Astyanax mexicanus: one gene and its partner. The protein of the gene in region 2 purifies or fractionates together with the protein of the main gene of each other region. This does not show direct contact. Links are inferred from orthologs where the notes say so. Each region holds a gene or a part of one and is shown on either strand. Other genes may lie near its edges.

Region 1 (7,392 bases), on a different chromosome or scaffold from region 2:
CTAGGACCAGGGTTGCACTAGAAAACAACCAAAAAATGTGGTCCATTTAACTTTGGGATCGGGACCCAGATTCAGAGCTTAATCCTACACTTAATAGGCTTTTCAATGCCTAATCACCACTGATACTACAGTCAAAACCTAGGATTAATCTGTTTATTGGAAACTGACTCAAAGTCATAACAGTCTGTTCAGGTTTGAGAACATGCATTATTTCTACTATATATGGTAAAAAAATTGATGGTACACTTACACTAGCCTTTATGACACATTGCCTTAAACCCATAACCATCCATGTGTCAGTATGAGTCGGTAACTCTTTACAGCTCTAATAGTGAATCTCTGTGTGAACACTGTTCTGCACTATGCTCCCCAGCACTCAGACACCTTTATAATTTTAAGCGTTTTGACTAGTGGTGTCAATTTATTAAAAATTTAACATGATTAATCACAACACTATTCTGTAATTAACTGTGATTAATCACACTTGTTTTCTTAAAATGCAAGTTTTTGTAATGCAATTATATTTATTTTAGTGGTGTCAATTAAATTACTAGAATATACTTTTATGTTTGAGGGGAGATAAAGTCAACGTGGTGCGCTGTAATAAAGAACGAATGACAAATTGGTAAATAAGTGTTTATTAAAAGCAAAACTAAGCTTTTGCATGGATTAAATACCTGTGGTACACACGAAGAATGGCAGACAGCTCAGTCTGGTTGAACGTCAGCACGTCAAAAGGGAACGCAGCTCCAACCTGTAACACATTACAACATATTTCTACACAACCACAATCTACACAACTCCGACACTAACTTAATTATAATGTGGAGGTCTCATAACATAGGTCAGTATTTTATCCCTACCTCCCCATACAGGTCTTTCAGTCCAGTGATGATCAACTGCTTGAACTGTTCTGCACTCAGACTTTTGTTTCTACTGTCAAAAACTCTGTTTATGCATACAAAAAAAATAGGGCTGTCTATTATTCATAGTATATATATATATATTTTTTTTTTCTTTTTTTTTTTAGAAAGGAGTTTACTTACAAGTTGATCTTCATATAATGATACAGAGAGGTGTTTTTGCACACAACACGCTCATAAGGTGTAGGTTTCTTCTCCATAATATCTGAATGCTGTTAGAACAGGAAACAAACATTGAGAGCGAAAAATAATTTTGTGTTAAAACTGAATTCTGAATGGTAAAATATGACGATATGGTAAAAAATGGTTGAAAAAAACAAAACAAAAAAAATATATTTCCTAATACGGAAAGACATTTGTTCACAATACACAATATTCTGAATTTATTTAAATCTGCTGTACTCTAAGTCAATTAAATACAGGACTAATTACTCTCTTTGTAATTTAACAGTTGCAGTTGTTCTGAATTTAAGCAATGGCAGTAGTCAAAACTTATTGTCTTATTGCACACCTATACTACGTATAAATTGTGTATTTGCTTAATCAATAATAAAAATGAAAAATGGCATAAAGACATTTAAGATTATTTTTTTTTTTTGTCCCACAACATGTTAACTCAACACCAGGGTTGTACAATATTAAAAAATAAAATGAAGAATGACACCCAAATTCAAATTAAATTATTCAATTGGAATTGAGATTGCAAACAGGAACCAGCTACTTCAAATTCGAACTGCAGGATGTAGAATTAGAATTACACGAAATTCAAATTAATGTATAATGCAAAATTAAGGTGTATATTAATTTCACACAGATATTATGGTATGAGCACAAAACAATAAAAACCCTCTATAACACAAATTATTAAAACTGTACCAACTTTCAAACTGTGGAAAATGATAGGACAGCACTTAATTTCCCAGAATATTGTTTTTTTCCTTTTTTTAACCATTGTCTTTAACCATTGTCCAAACATTAAGGCTATTTGAGGAACTGTTGACCATAAGATGCAATAGCATTACCCTTTAAATTACTTTAATAAATTGTAACATTGTTGTATGTGACTAATTTAGCAATATCTTAATTTTGAAAGTATTCAACATTAAGAGAATGTATGCTTTCTACAGGCTTACAATGCTAGTTATAAGGGCTTAGTGCTGCCCATGTAAAGAAATAGTTAATTTTACACTCTTAAGAAGCTCAAAGTAGCTCCACACTTCACTGGTAGAATTCTGAGAGCACGGATATTTAAAATGAGGCACTGAGAAATGGATGGGTGGGTAGGTAGATTCATTCATTCATTCATTCATTCATTTAATCATTCACTGAATTAAATTGAATTCTGAAATTCTGATTTTTGCACAGCCCTACTCAGCATATACTCAGAATCTTAACGTATTTTCTGTTATGATTTGTACACTTTTATTAAATGCTTACCATATACAATATTACAAATATTTGAACAGAGCATCAATTAGAGAGACTTTAAGTCCACTGACTCAAACACTGCATTATAAAAAGTAAAGGTGGTAAACCCGGGTCCAGAAAGTAAAAGTTTAAAAGTTTAAAAAGTATGAAACCCAGGGATGGATTTTTACTTTCTGGATCCGGGTTAGCCACCTCTAATAATAAACCATATGTAGACGCAATCAAGTGCATCTAATAACGGACAGGGCCAGTTCTCCAAATTAAACCAACAAACCCAACCCCTATCTATCATCAGTATATACATTCGATAGGTTATTATGACTTGAAACAGATAGCTAGAGTAATTGAGTTATATCTGGCTAGCTAGATAACTAACAGCTAACTATATAACAGGTGTAGGTTAAGTAAGAACATATCTAAGTTAGTTAGCTAGGCTAATGTTGCTATCCAGTAAAACTTACATCCTTTGGAAACTCCACTGAAGAGACTCATTCAAAACTAACCGTAGTGCACTTTTAAATGTACGAATATTACAATACTAAATACAGCTATTTACCGACTAAAGACAGTCTCACGCAGCACGTCCTTATCGCCATGTGACTCCTGTAGCTTCTAATGTTTTCAAGAGCGGATTTCTTCTTCGTGGTTGATTTTTGGCAGCTTGCAATCTTAGTGCATTACCGCCATCTACTGGTCTGATGTTTGATTACATTGGGATTACAAAAATATATACAGTATGCTCTGTACCACCTTGACCTAATAAGTTTTTTCAATTGAGTTCTTTGTTACCGTCTCAAGACGTTCTCTCCGTTAGAGTACTGCCTACATGTAAGCAGTACGTAAATTACGGTTTCAGTTTCATTACAGTATGAACATATTCCGGTGTCATGTTTTCCTTTAATGTGTAAACCACTATTTAGTGCTGTAAGCCCTATTCTTAGGCTGGTTGATCAGGTTTCCTCCTGTCGTGAGTGAATGGATTTTCCTTTTACCTCTTGTTGTATACTATATAAATTCCTGCTGTTCTCCTCCGTATCCCATTTGTTTTGCCAGATTTTATGAACACCGTCTTTTATTACTTTTTTTAATTCTGATTTGCTCAGTAAAACCTTTAACTTCTACTTGCTCTGATTTCAGTGCTTCTTTTGCAAACTCATCTGCTTCCTCATTCCCCTAAATACCCGTGGGTGCTGGAACCCAGGTGAACTGTACAATTTTGTTTTTGTTGACTTATTCTATAAATCATCTGGTGCATTAGTATTTTTTCCCACTGTTTTTATGTACGACGCTGATTAGTTAACTAGCTGACCCGGGCTAGGCTAGCTGTGCTAAGTTATCTTAGCCTGGACTCTGAGGCCTGAAGGCTGGGATCAGCGGGAGCCTCCACATCTCGACTTCACTTCCTCCTCAACTCTTCTTTCTTTCACTTTTCGTTCAGCGCTGCTGTAAACTACGCCAAAAACACCCGCTTCCACCGGTTTCACACACTTTAATGGTCGAACTGAAAGTCAGAGGGGTTCCTCCGAAGGTACGTGCTTTGTTCTGGTGGTTTATTTGCTGATATTCTGCTGTAAATGCTGTTTTTTTTTACAGGGTATTAACTAGATGAGCAGTGCTGAGCTTTCAGGGTCAGTCCGAGGAAGACACAGCAGATTAAACCAGCTAAACCACATCAAAATCAAAGAGTTGTTTTGGCCCAGAAATGACTCAAACAGAAGTAGAAAGCTAGCTATATGTTCAAACAACTGCTAAAGTACTGCAGACGTTACTCTAGTAAAAGGAAAAGACCTCTCTATGCCTACATTAAAGTAAAAGTACACACATGTTATTTTCCTTAAAATGTGCTTACAAAAGCACTAAACACCATGATTTATTATGGCTCCAATATCTTATAAATTCTTTTTTTAGAACTGAACCCTCAATCTGATTAATCAACTCATTTTAGATAGAAAGACTCCAGCCATACACTTGTTTCACAATTTTTAATCTTTTCATAGGATTTTATTTATTAGTCTAATTGCAGTGATTGCTGTTAAAATTATCATAAAATATCACAAAAGCACTATTAGTAAAAGTACCCGGATTTAATGGCTTTAATGTGCTTTTATCGCTTTTGGATCAGAATCAGGTCATTTTATATTAAAAGACTCCAGTAATACCCTTGGTTGACATTATTAATCTTTTTAGAAAGACTCATTAATTAGACTTATTTTATTGTGATGTACTTTTAAAGTGACCATAAAATATCACAAAACATTGGATGCAAGTAAAACTTTTTTTTTTCTCCATAATGTATTGGAGTAAAAATCTAAATATTTGAGTTTGAAATGTTGTGAGTTAAAGTAAAAAGTAAAAATTGCAGATATGAAAAACAGTAAAGTATATATATTTTACTCTGCTACTGTCTACCACTGCAAATTACAATACATTACAATAAAAATAAAATATTACTTTAGATTTTTTTTTATCTCTAAAGCAGTCCAGGTGCTAAAACAATACAACACAATAAAATCAAACATATTAAAAAAGGAAGTATATGTACAGCCAAAGTGGAACTAAGTAAAATACTGGAGTTCTTTCCTCACAGGCATAGCCCATTGACTGTGTGCCCCATTTTTTTTTTTTTTACCTTTTCACACATGAAATATTTATATGTTCATGATATTTTGAAAGTCCAGAATAATGTGAAAAAAGAAATTGTTAAAAAAGCCTGATATATCATTTGAAGTTAAATAAGAAGTTGGAATATTACTTTAAAACATATAACTAATAAATAAAACATCTTTTTTTAACTTAAACTTTTTTTTTTGCATCCAGGTCAAGATATGGCGATGCCCTATGACCAGAGAAACATGAAAAAAGGTACAGGGGAGGAATTCACAGTATCAGGAAATATAAGCTTGTCCTTAGTTTGGTAATACTGTACGTCAGTTAGGTTAAGATGTACTGAAAATACAGACTTGAATTAAAGAAAGCAGAAACCAATGTATTGAATGCCAATGTCATATGATGAGGAGACCAATAGAAATGCTCCAAAATTACTTGTAATATTTTTTAGATAACATATCGTTGATCTAGGCCTGTCACGATAACAACATTTTTAGGGCAATGTATTGTCTCAGAAATGATTGCGATAAACGATAATATTGTCCTTTTAAAGCGCCACTATAGAAAATGCTTTTTCCTGCTTTGGGCTCCTAAAGGTGCTTTAAGACAATGTGCCACAGTAATTATATACTAGCATAATAATACTATTACACTATTTTACAGTGAAACGAACTTTTCATTATTCAGAACAGACATTGGGCTTCCATTATAAAAATATTCAGGGTTTGTATGGGTGCTTGAATTTTAACGTTCTGTTTTCCAGGCCTGGAAAGTGCTGGAACTTTTGAGCAAGTGCTTACAATGCTAGAAATTGTAACTGCATTTACTTTATAAAAAAATAACTATCTGACTAAATAAGTTCGCTTAAAAAAATATAGAGCGTAAAATAAAAAAGGCTTTGCTCACGCAAATTCCGGTTCTTTCTCGTAATCCAAGAGGAGTTTGCTCACGAAGAGCCGGCTCTTTTTGCCCCCAGATGCAACATAGTTTTGCCACTTTTTTAAAAACATAGACAGCAGGAGAGTTAGCTAGCTATGCTAAAAGCTAAGCTTTGGATTTATCTAAATAATAATAGTATTGAGGGGCCCCCCTGTCACGAAGGGATAAAGGGCCCTCACACAACAGCGCAAATCGTACCGGGCCAAACCGAGAAACCGGTGAAAGTAATGTTGAGGTCTTATTGACTGTGGCAATTCAAGCATTTTCATCATTATCTGATGAAGACTTTAGGAGTAGTTTAAATGAGTTCTTGAAAAATGTTTAAACAAATTTCCTGTTGGGCGGATCTAATACAAACAAATTTGTGCAGGGTCTTAGTGTCTACATTTCTACCAAAAATTGGGAAGATTAGAACATTTTTTACACAACCACAGCTGATTTCTTTACCAATCAAATTAGGGGGCGCTGTAGAGTCCGCTAGCTACACAAGCTCGTTTCAGGCACTGAAGCCACAATACAAGCCCCGGAGATCAGCTCGTTCCAGGTACTGAAGCCTCTTTTCCACAAGCCCCGGAGATCGACTTGGTTCAGGCACTGAAGCCGCGATACAAGCCCTGGAGATCGGCTCATTTCAGGCCCTGAATCCGGGCTAACAGCCCCATAGATTGGAGGACGCTGATGCTGTGTTAACAGTGCCAGGATCGGCTTAGCCTAATAATATATATTGTATGTGTAACTCGGATTATTAGTATTATTATTTAGATAAATACAAAGTTTGGGTTTCAGCATAGCTCTCTTAACTCTCCTGCTGTGTTTGTTTCTGAAGGCTGCCGGTAGTAGGCAGACAGTAACAAAGCCTGGAGATATCAGCCAATAGCATTCGCTGAGGGAGGTGATCCTGACTCCGCCCCCAAAACCACCTCTTTCTACACTCGAGGCAAAATCTCCACTCGAGCAAAACAGCATCAAACAAAAAGCTTTATGTTCAGTTTTTACATTTTAAGTAAAAAAATGATTGAAAGTTATTTGTCCAGTGACCTTTTGTGTCACAGTTCCATTATTGATAGAATCAAGTTGGATAGCAAGCAAAGTCTACAGATAGGTGATACCTTTTGAATTATAAAACTTTTGCTTGAATTTCTTTTCCCTTTTGCCATTACCAAACACAAGTCTGAAGTGTGACAAAAAGCAAATCAATAATTTTGAGTATATGTATGTATAAATGCTCTCAACTCAACCCCAAATTTGACATACTACAGTTACTGCTCAATCAAATGAACAGGGTAAACATGTGGTGAAGAACATTAGTATTTAAATTGTGTGAAACTGACACCTGCTATTTACTTAGTTAGAAGTTTTTTTTCTCAGTAGCATAGTCGCTGTGAAGTGTGGAGAATAGTTTTGCGACATATTTATTATCACTGAACTGTAGTTTGAGATATCACTGTTATCATTAATTTACTAGGACTGGCCTGAATAGCTCAGAATATTCAGC
Region 2 (7,788 bases):
GAGAAACATATTTTTTTTGGACTGGGACATTGTGGATCTGGAAGACCACAGCACTGGAGTATTGTCTTACTTTTCAGTCTGTCTTCTTTGGTGATGATCTTAAAGACGTGCTTCAGCTCCTGCACCAGGATTCCAGTGGTCCCAACATAAGATGGACATTTTGATCGGACCACTGCAAGACAAAATAATGAAACACAAATAAATGTTGGGTAATCCTCCCGTATATATTGATGATATTTGATCAGAATCTGAGAGAGCTGTAGAGTGTAGAGTTGAGGAGCGTCCACTAACCTGTTAAAACTGCACCGTGGAAATCAGCCTTCAGGAGCTTCTGCTGGATGGTCTGTGGGTTGCTGTGGTAGATGTTACAGATTAAACACTGCAGGAATTAGAGCCAGACTTACAGTATCAGAATTTAAACTATCATATATAAATATATATTGATATTTATCACCTGCCAGGTTTGAGTCCGTTACACAGATCGATTATGTACTGTTTCCACAGCACATGTAGCGGCAGGAACAGCTCATACCTGCAGAATCAGAACCGGAAATAGTTATAATATTTACTTTAGTCTATTAATATAGTTATACATGGCAAAGCAATTTGCAACAACACCTGTCGACCACTTGGAACACCATAGCAACCAAGCCTTTCTACAGCAGTTACCTAGCAACAACATAGCAATCAACCAGTGGGGACTTCTTGAACATCCCAACCATTACATTTCTAGTTAAATACAGTCTAAAAGTGCAAACGTTTGGAAACATCATGTGTTCTTGAGTCAAAATTCCTTACAGAGAGACTTATTTACACTCACAGGGCTCTAGACTAACACAGTCCCAGCGTCCTGACGACAAAGCCGTTTCAAGCCGTTTTTGAGAAAACTGCCTGCTGGTTGAAGTATGACTGGGACTTTTCCTATTGCTTAGCATGTTAAAGTATATTCTTTTTTACGAACAATCAGCTTGCTAGAAAAGCCACAAGAGGAGGAAGGCCAATGTGGCACTAGCGGGGAAAGCCTCTAAAGAAATAATTGTGGTTGGTGGATCGCCATGTCAGTCAACTGGGGAGCTTCAAAAGTGGCAAAATTGCTGGCTAATGGCAGAACTGCACTTTTAAGATAAGCAGACATATCCTAAGGAACTGTGTTCTATACATTTCTTAATTGTGGTGGGTGTATTGCCATGTCAGTCAACTTGGGAGCTTCAAAATGGGCAAAATGAATCAGGGGAAAAAGCGTCAATTGCTGGCTAATGGCAAAACTGCACTTTTAAGATGAGCAGACATATTGTAAGGAACTGTGTTTTTAATTTTATTCTAAGTATAATTCCACTAGTTGAAAAAAAGTTTCTAACTGAAAATAAAATATAATTGTGTCTCTGTATAATATAATAACTTGACATTAAGGAGTCACAAATATATATATAACTCAAACAGACTGTCCAAACAACTGATGACATTATGGTAGTAAAATACACAAATACAATAGAAATGTAAACATAGATACATAGAATAAACATCTAAATATATATAATTTTTCACATTACTATTGTATTTGTTTTTGTATTGTTATGGGACAGATAATTTTCAGTTTGAGATGGTTCTGGGACGGTTGAGAATAAAGTTAGTCTGGAGCCCTGACTGGAGCCAAGTCACTTCATGTGAGGGGTCCTGATTTTTGCATTAATCTGCACTGCTGATGCAGGAATGTGGTGTGATGTTGTGATGAGATGTGGTACACACTTCTGATGCTCGGGTTTCAGCTGGAACACTTTTAGCTCCCGCCGTTCTTTAGCGTTGAGTCCTTTAGCTTTGGTCTTCTTTCCCCGGGTTCTGTTGGGTCTGGCGTACTGCAGGATCACAGCCTGGCGGAGCATCATGCTCTCGATCTCCTCGCCCTTCAGCTGCGGCAGGCTGCTCTTCAGGAACGCATTGGTGAACTTCTCCGCAGCCGTGCCAGGCTGAGACTGAACACACAACACAACACAGGCCAACATTGTTTTTTTATTATATACAGCTCTGGAAAAAATATGACACCACTTAAAAATGATAAGTTTCTTTGATTTTACCAAATTGAAAACCTCTGGAATATAATCAAGAGGAAGATGGATGATTACAAGCAATCAAATCAAGCTGAACTGATTAGATTTTTGCACCAGGAGTGTCATAAAGTTATCCAAAATCAGTATGTAAGACTGGTGGAGGAGAACATGCATAGATGCACGAAAACTGTGATTAAACCCAGGGTTTTTCCACCAAATGTTGATTACTGATCTCTTAAAATTTTATGAATATGAACTTGTTTTCTTTGCATTATTTGAGATTAGAAAGCTCTGCATCTTTTTTTGTTTTTTTCAACCATTTCTCATTTTCTGCAAATAAATGCTCTAAATGACAATATTTTTATTTGGAATTTGGGAGAAATGTTGTCCAACAATGTTCATTTTACTCAAACATAAACCTATAAATAGCGGTTCAAATAGCTTGGACTTATTGGTTTACTGTAAATAGAGCAAATCAGTCAGAACCTGAAAAGAACTCTCACCTGAACTCCTAGAAGTTTACCATCTTCTGGAGGAATACTGGAAAACGCTGCTTCTGTGAACAAGAAAAGAACAAAAAACAGCAATGACCGGCAAAGGAACACATTTCAGCTATTATGTTAAAAACATATAGTTTAGTGTTCAGTGACTTTAACAAAAAATAAAACAAAAACGAACCTTAAAGAACCTAAATCTAATGCTAGAGGAACGTTTAGTGTTATCTGGGGAAACAACAGCCCTGGATTGGTTATTTAGACTCAGTTCAGCAGGAAGACTCGGTTTACAACACACAACACTCACTAACAACCGCGCGTCGCTTTAATAAACCTGTTATTAATGTTATTAATACAATAATAATCCACACTTACCCGCCATGCTGGATCCACACCGGCTCCCCCAGTGCTGAAAGCCGATCACCGATCGCCAAGTCCGGTACGTGAGACCTGAGTAATCAACCGCAGCTTCCCTGATTCAGTCATTTCTACAGTACATGTGTTTTATGTCCTTTTTTAAAATACATTTTGGTTATAAATGTTATAAATTACTCAAAATTATTTCTAAAATGTCTAAATTTATAGTTAATAAAAATCATTTTTTATTTAGACCTCTGTATACTAATGTATTTATGTTTTTTACAAAAGACTTTCTGAGGTGTAGATGTCCTATAATGTTATAAACGGCATTAAACCTTTTTATAATAATAATAAAAAATACTTACCACTCCGTAAAGCTACAAAATTATTTCAAATTAGAGATTTAACATCTTTTTATTTAATACATTTTGAAGTGTAAACTTGTGTGTATAGTAAAACATTTTTTTCAGTTTTTGAGTTTTAAAGTCTGTCCCCTTTAAAAATAAAAAAGCATATGTTTCAGGTATTTTATGTAACATTATAGGTATGTATAAACAAAGAAAATATTTTATTTATTCTGATCTAGATCATTTAGTAAAAAGTTGTTTGCATCAAATTATGGTGCAAAATTGGACAAAAAATGTCAAAACTACACTATATTTAAAGCAAATAAAAATAAAAAAAATCGCAAGGTAATACACATAGACAAAAACAATCTTTTATTAATAATTTTATTTATAATTTTCTAATTTTATTTTTTTTATTTCTATAAAATCCACGTCTTTTACAAAAGCCCCGCCCCCTCTTGGGCGAAACCGCTCTCTATTGGTCCGCTGTCACCGGACGCCACTTTCTATTTGTCCGCGCGTTTGCAGGGTGGATTTGAATGCAGCTGATTTGAAGCGAGCAGTGAGGAGAGTTCAGTTATTTAGTTATTTTTATTTAATTTAAATTCACACTTTTTACACAGTTACGGGTTTATATGCGTGTTTATATATTTAGTTGATTATTTGTAGTATTTAGATTGTAGTTGAGTGTTTTTGAGATGAAGGCTGAGGGCGGTGGAGTGTGTGTATCTGAGGGTGGAGAGCAGCGGCCGGTGGATGATCAACAGCAACAACCGGACCAGACCGACCCAGAGCCAGAACCAGAGCCAGAGCCAGAACCTGAACCAAAACCGGCGCCCAGACTCTTACCCAGAGGTACCAGAACCGACTTACTGATTTACTAAGAAACTAATGCAGTACAGCGAAGTGTCAGTGAGACAGCTTAGAGATACAGCCAGCGGTTTAACACAACAACTTAGCTAGCACTAACTTACCAGCTAACGAGGTTAACAAACTAACGTTAGCTAGCTTACTTATAAGTAACGTTAAGTGATTGATTAATTAACTAACTAACTAACTAACCTAGCTAACTAAATAAGTAGTTATTATTTAATTAATGAACTAACTAACTAACTAACCTAGCAAACTAACTAACTAAAGTTACCTAAATAAGTATTTAAATAACAAGCAAACTAACTAGCTACCTAACTAGTTGACTAACTAACGTTACCTAGGTAACTAGTTAACTGACAAGTTAACTAACTAACTAGTTACTATCTATCTAACTAAATCACTAGTTAACTAACTAACTAACTTAGTTAACTATCTATCTAGCTAACTAAATCACTTTATACGGTCATGATAAACCTGGGAAAGTCATGAAATTCAAAAATAGCAATTTCCAAGGATTGATTAGTTTTGGAAAAATAAAAAAGACCTAGAACGTTTTGGAAAAGTCCTGAAAACCTTGTCCACAAATCCTTTATGTTTCAGTTTATTGAAGGAGAAAAGCTATTTTGAGCTACAAATACATCAGCTCAGAGTTAATTCAGTAATTTAGCCTTATAGAGTAGAGCTCTCAGGATCTGACACGCATTTTATTATTAAAGATTGAGTGTCAACATTTTTATCAGATTCATTTTAGGCCTACTATCTTCAATTTTGTTTTTGTGTCTGCACTGATGTTTTAAAAATCATATGGTCATGAAAATGTCCCTTGAAAAATCATGAAAATGTATTGGTTAAAACATGTATGAGCCATGAACATAACTATGACCATGAAAACTTAAAAATAAAACATAACTATAAAACCATTAACTGTGGTACTGTGTGTAGCAAAGTGCAGTTACAAATGACTGTTTATGTGGCCAGTTATGTTGACAAATTGATCCATCCTTAATAATGTCTCCATAAGCACAGAGCGGGATAACAGTAAAAATTCTGCAGAATTTCATTCAGAAAGTGAACATTTCTATGGGTAAAACGCAGGTATAGTGATGATATATCGCTGTAAGTGATGGGAACTCTTTCCTCTGTAGCGATGTTTCAGGATGACGAGCACGATGAAGAGGAGGATGACGAGGATGACGATGAAGAAGATGACAGCGGCACAGATGGGCTGTCTAACGATGAAAAGCTGTGCACACATTTACAGCGGGCCGAGGCGTTCGGGAGCGCGGGGCTGCCTCACATCTTCCAAACCAACCATCTGCTTTTCTACGAGAGATTCAAAGCCTATCAGGATTACATGCTCGGTAACTCGCTGCATATTAACCTCATCATCTGTAGATGTGTCACTGTTTATTATGTTCATAATCACATCTGCTGATCTCTATACTGAATAGATCAGCAAATGGATAAATACAGTATATATAATACTTTTTAAAATATTATATTAAAATTCCCTGAGGTATAATATATAAAGTATATAAAATATCTAAAATATAAATGTTTGACCTCCATTAGACCTCTGAAACCTCTCCTCACCCATCTCTGTCTCTGTCTGTCTGCTGCAGGCGACTGTAAACCTTCAGAGGTGCAGGAGTTCACTGCGGATTACCTGGAGAAGGTGGTGGAGCCATGTGATTGGCAGGCGCTGTGGCACACTGACATGGTTGATGTTCTAGTTGAAGTGAGTGCAAAGAGTATTTGCTCGTCTGCCTTTTCACACCTACACAAAATGACTAGTTTCTTTGATTTTACCAAATTGAAAACCTCTGGAATATAATCAAGAGGAAGATGGATGATCACAAGCCATCAAACCACCAAACTGAACTGCTTGAATTTTTGCACCAGGAGTAAAGCAGCATAAAGTTATCCAAAAGCAGAGTGTAAGACTGGTGGAGGAGAACATGAGTTATTCCACCAAATATTGATTTCTAAACATTTAAAACTTTATGAATGTGAACATTGTATATGAATATTGTTTTCTTTGCATTATTTGAAGTCTGAAAGCTCTGCAATTTGTTTGTTATTTTTGCCATTTCTTATTTTCTCCAAATAAATGCTCTAAATGACAATATTTTTATTTGGAATTTAGGAGAAATGTTGTCTGTAGTTTATAGAATAAAACAACAATGTTAATTTTACTTAAACATAAATAGCAAAATCAGAGAAACCTATTTAGAAACTGAAGTGGTCTTTTTATTTTTTTCTAAAGCTATATGAACTTGAGTGACATCCTTTTCTTAATCCATAGGGTTTAATATGATCTCAGCCCAACCTTTACAGCTATAAGAGCTTCAGCTCATCTGGAAAGGCTTTACACAGGTTTAGGAGTGTGTTTATGGAATTTTTTCTCATTCTTCCACAAATACATTCGTGAAGTCAGACATTGATGTTGGATGGGAAGCTCTGGTTATCAGTCTCTATTCTAATCCATCCCAGAGGTGTTCCATCAGGTTGAAGTCAGGACTCGACTGTGCAGACCAGTCAAGTTCTTTCACACCAGACTCACTCATGCATGTCTTCATGTGTTCTGCAGGTGGTGGATGTTGACTATAAGGAGCTGAAGGGGAAGGTGGAGCTAGTGGAGCCCCTGCAGTGCGAGTATCGAGGTTGTGACCTCACTGAGGACTCGGTGAAGACGTTACTGGAGGCCAAGCAGAATAAAGTCCCGCTGCAGGAGCTCCATGTGGTTTATGATGAATCCGGAGAATTCGACCAGACAGCTCTCGCTCTGGAACATCTCAGGTTCAGCTCTCTTACTCAGTTACTCACACACATAACCACACACTCTACATGGAAGGCACATGGAGATGGTTGGAGTTATGCAATAAGGAGTAACCATTTCAATTCATATAGAAATCACATTAAAATCAGTGGATGAAGATATAAATCTGTACCAGTGGTAACATATTTAGAGTTTATACTAAAAAAGAATGGAATGGTAGAAGCTTAAATTGAACTAGAAAAGGTTTTAATAATCAAAATTCTTGAATGTTTGACCAACGTTTTTATTTTCTTTTTTTTTTATTTTTTATTTTTTATTTTTTTTACATCCTGGCATAAATACCAACAAAACACTTTTTCCTCAACTGTGTTATTATAATCCTAAATTTACCTCAGTAGTGCTGTTCTAATCCTGAATTTACCTGAGTAGTGCTGTCCTAATCATGAATTTACCTTAGAATGGTATTCTAATCATGCATTTACCTCAATAGTGCTGTTCTAAGCATGAAATTACTTCAGTAGTGCTGTTGCAATCATAAATGTATGATTTGAAAAATATTGCATATTTGTGGAAGAAATAATCAGATTTGGAAATGTCAGTTGTGATTATGCTGCTATGATGACTATATTTTAAAACATTATTTCCAAAAGAAAAAAATAATAAATATATATATATTATCATTATTGTACATTAACGAGTTTCGGGGTCGCTGTGGGGTCAGTGGGTGGGGTTTCAGTAGCAGGGTGTTTACAGTTCTGCAGTAGCTGCTGCTGTTGTTGTGCTGATCCGACTGGTTCTGAGATCAGTTTGAACACACTCTCAGTCTGAACGCCCCGGGGCTCCTGCTGAGCCGGCTGCCTCGGCTGTACGTCGAGTCGGACCGTAATGTT

Evidence for each region. Proteins that work in one complex are often made in the same cells at the same time.
Region 1: the proteins of pop4 (region 2) and rpp14 purify together in Homo sapiens (affinity purification with mass spectrometry; 3 studies listed by BioGRID and IntAct, counting the BioPlex papers as one, with this or other methods). This does not show direct contact. The link is inferred for Astyanax mexicanus from reciprocal best matches to the Homo sapiens genes POP4 and RPP14.

What each region holds. Positions count from the first base shown.
Region 1 is NC_064431.1:12,208,629-12,216,020, reverse strand, and holds the start of rpp14 (ribonuclease P protein subunit p14), read right to left. Parts: upstream 3,012-7,392; 5' UTR 2,908-3,011; exon of another isoform or gene 2,813-2,907; intron 1,136-2,812; 5' UTR 1,124-1,135; coding exon 1,047-1,123; intron 949-1,046; coding exon 864-948; intron 755-863; coding exon 678-754; intron 1-677. Other genes in the region: rbck1 (ranBP-type and C3HC4-type zinc finger-containing protein 1), read left to right, coding at 5,177-5,213. UniProt on the Homo sapiens protein: Component of ribonuclease P, a ribonucleoprotein complex that generates mature tRNA molecules by cleaving their 5'-ends.
Region 2 is NC_064430.1:24,491,426-24,499,213, reverse strand, and holds the start of pop4 (ribonuclease P protein subunit p29), read right to left. Parts: upstream 3,009-7,788; 5' UTR 2,922-3,008; coding exon 2,915-2,921; intron 2,602-2,914; coding exon 2,549-2,601; intron 1,971-2,548; coding exon 1,747-1,970; intron 533-1,746; coding exon 455-532; intron 354-454; coding exon 292-353; intron 173-291; coding exon 71-172; intron 1-70. Other genes in the region: shcbp1 (SHC SH2 domain-binding protein 1), read left to right, coding at 3,945-4,101, 5,265-5,480, 5,742-5,857, 6,710-6,918. UniProt on the Homo sapiens protein: Component of ribonuclease P, a ribonucleoprotein complex that generates mature tRNA molecules by cleaving their 5'-ends.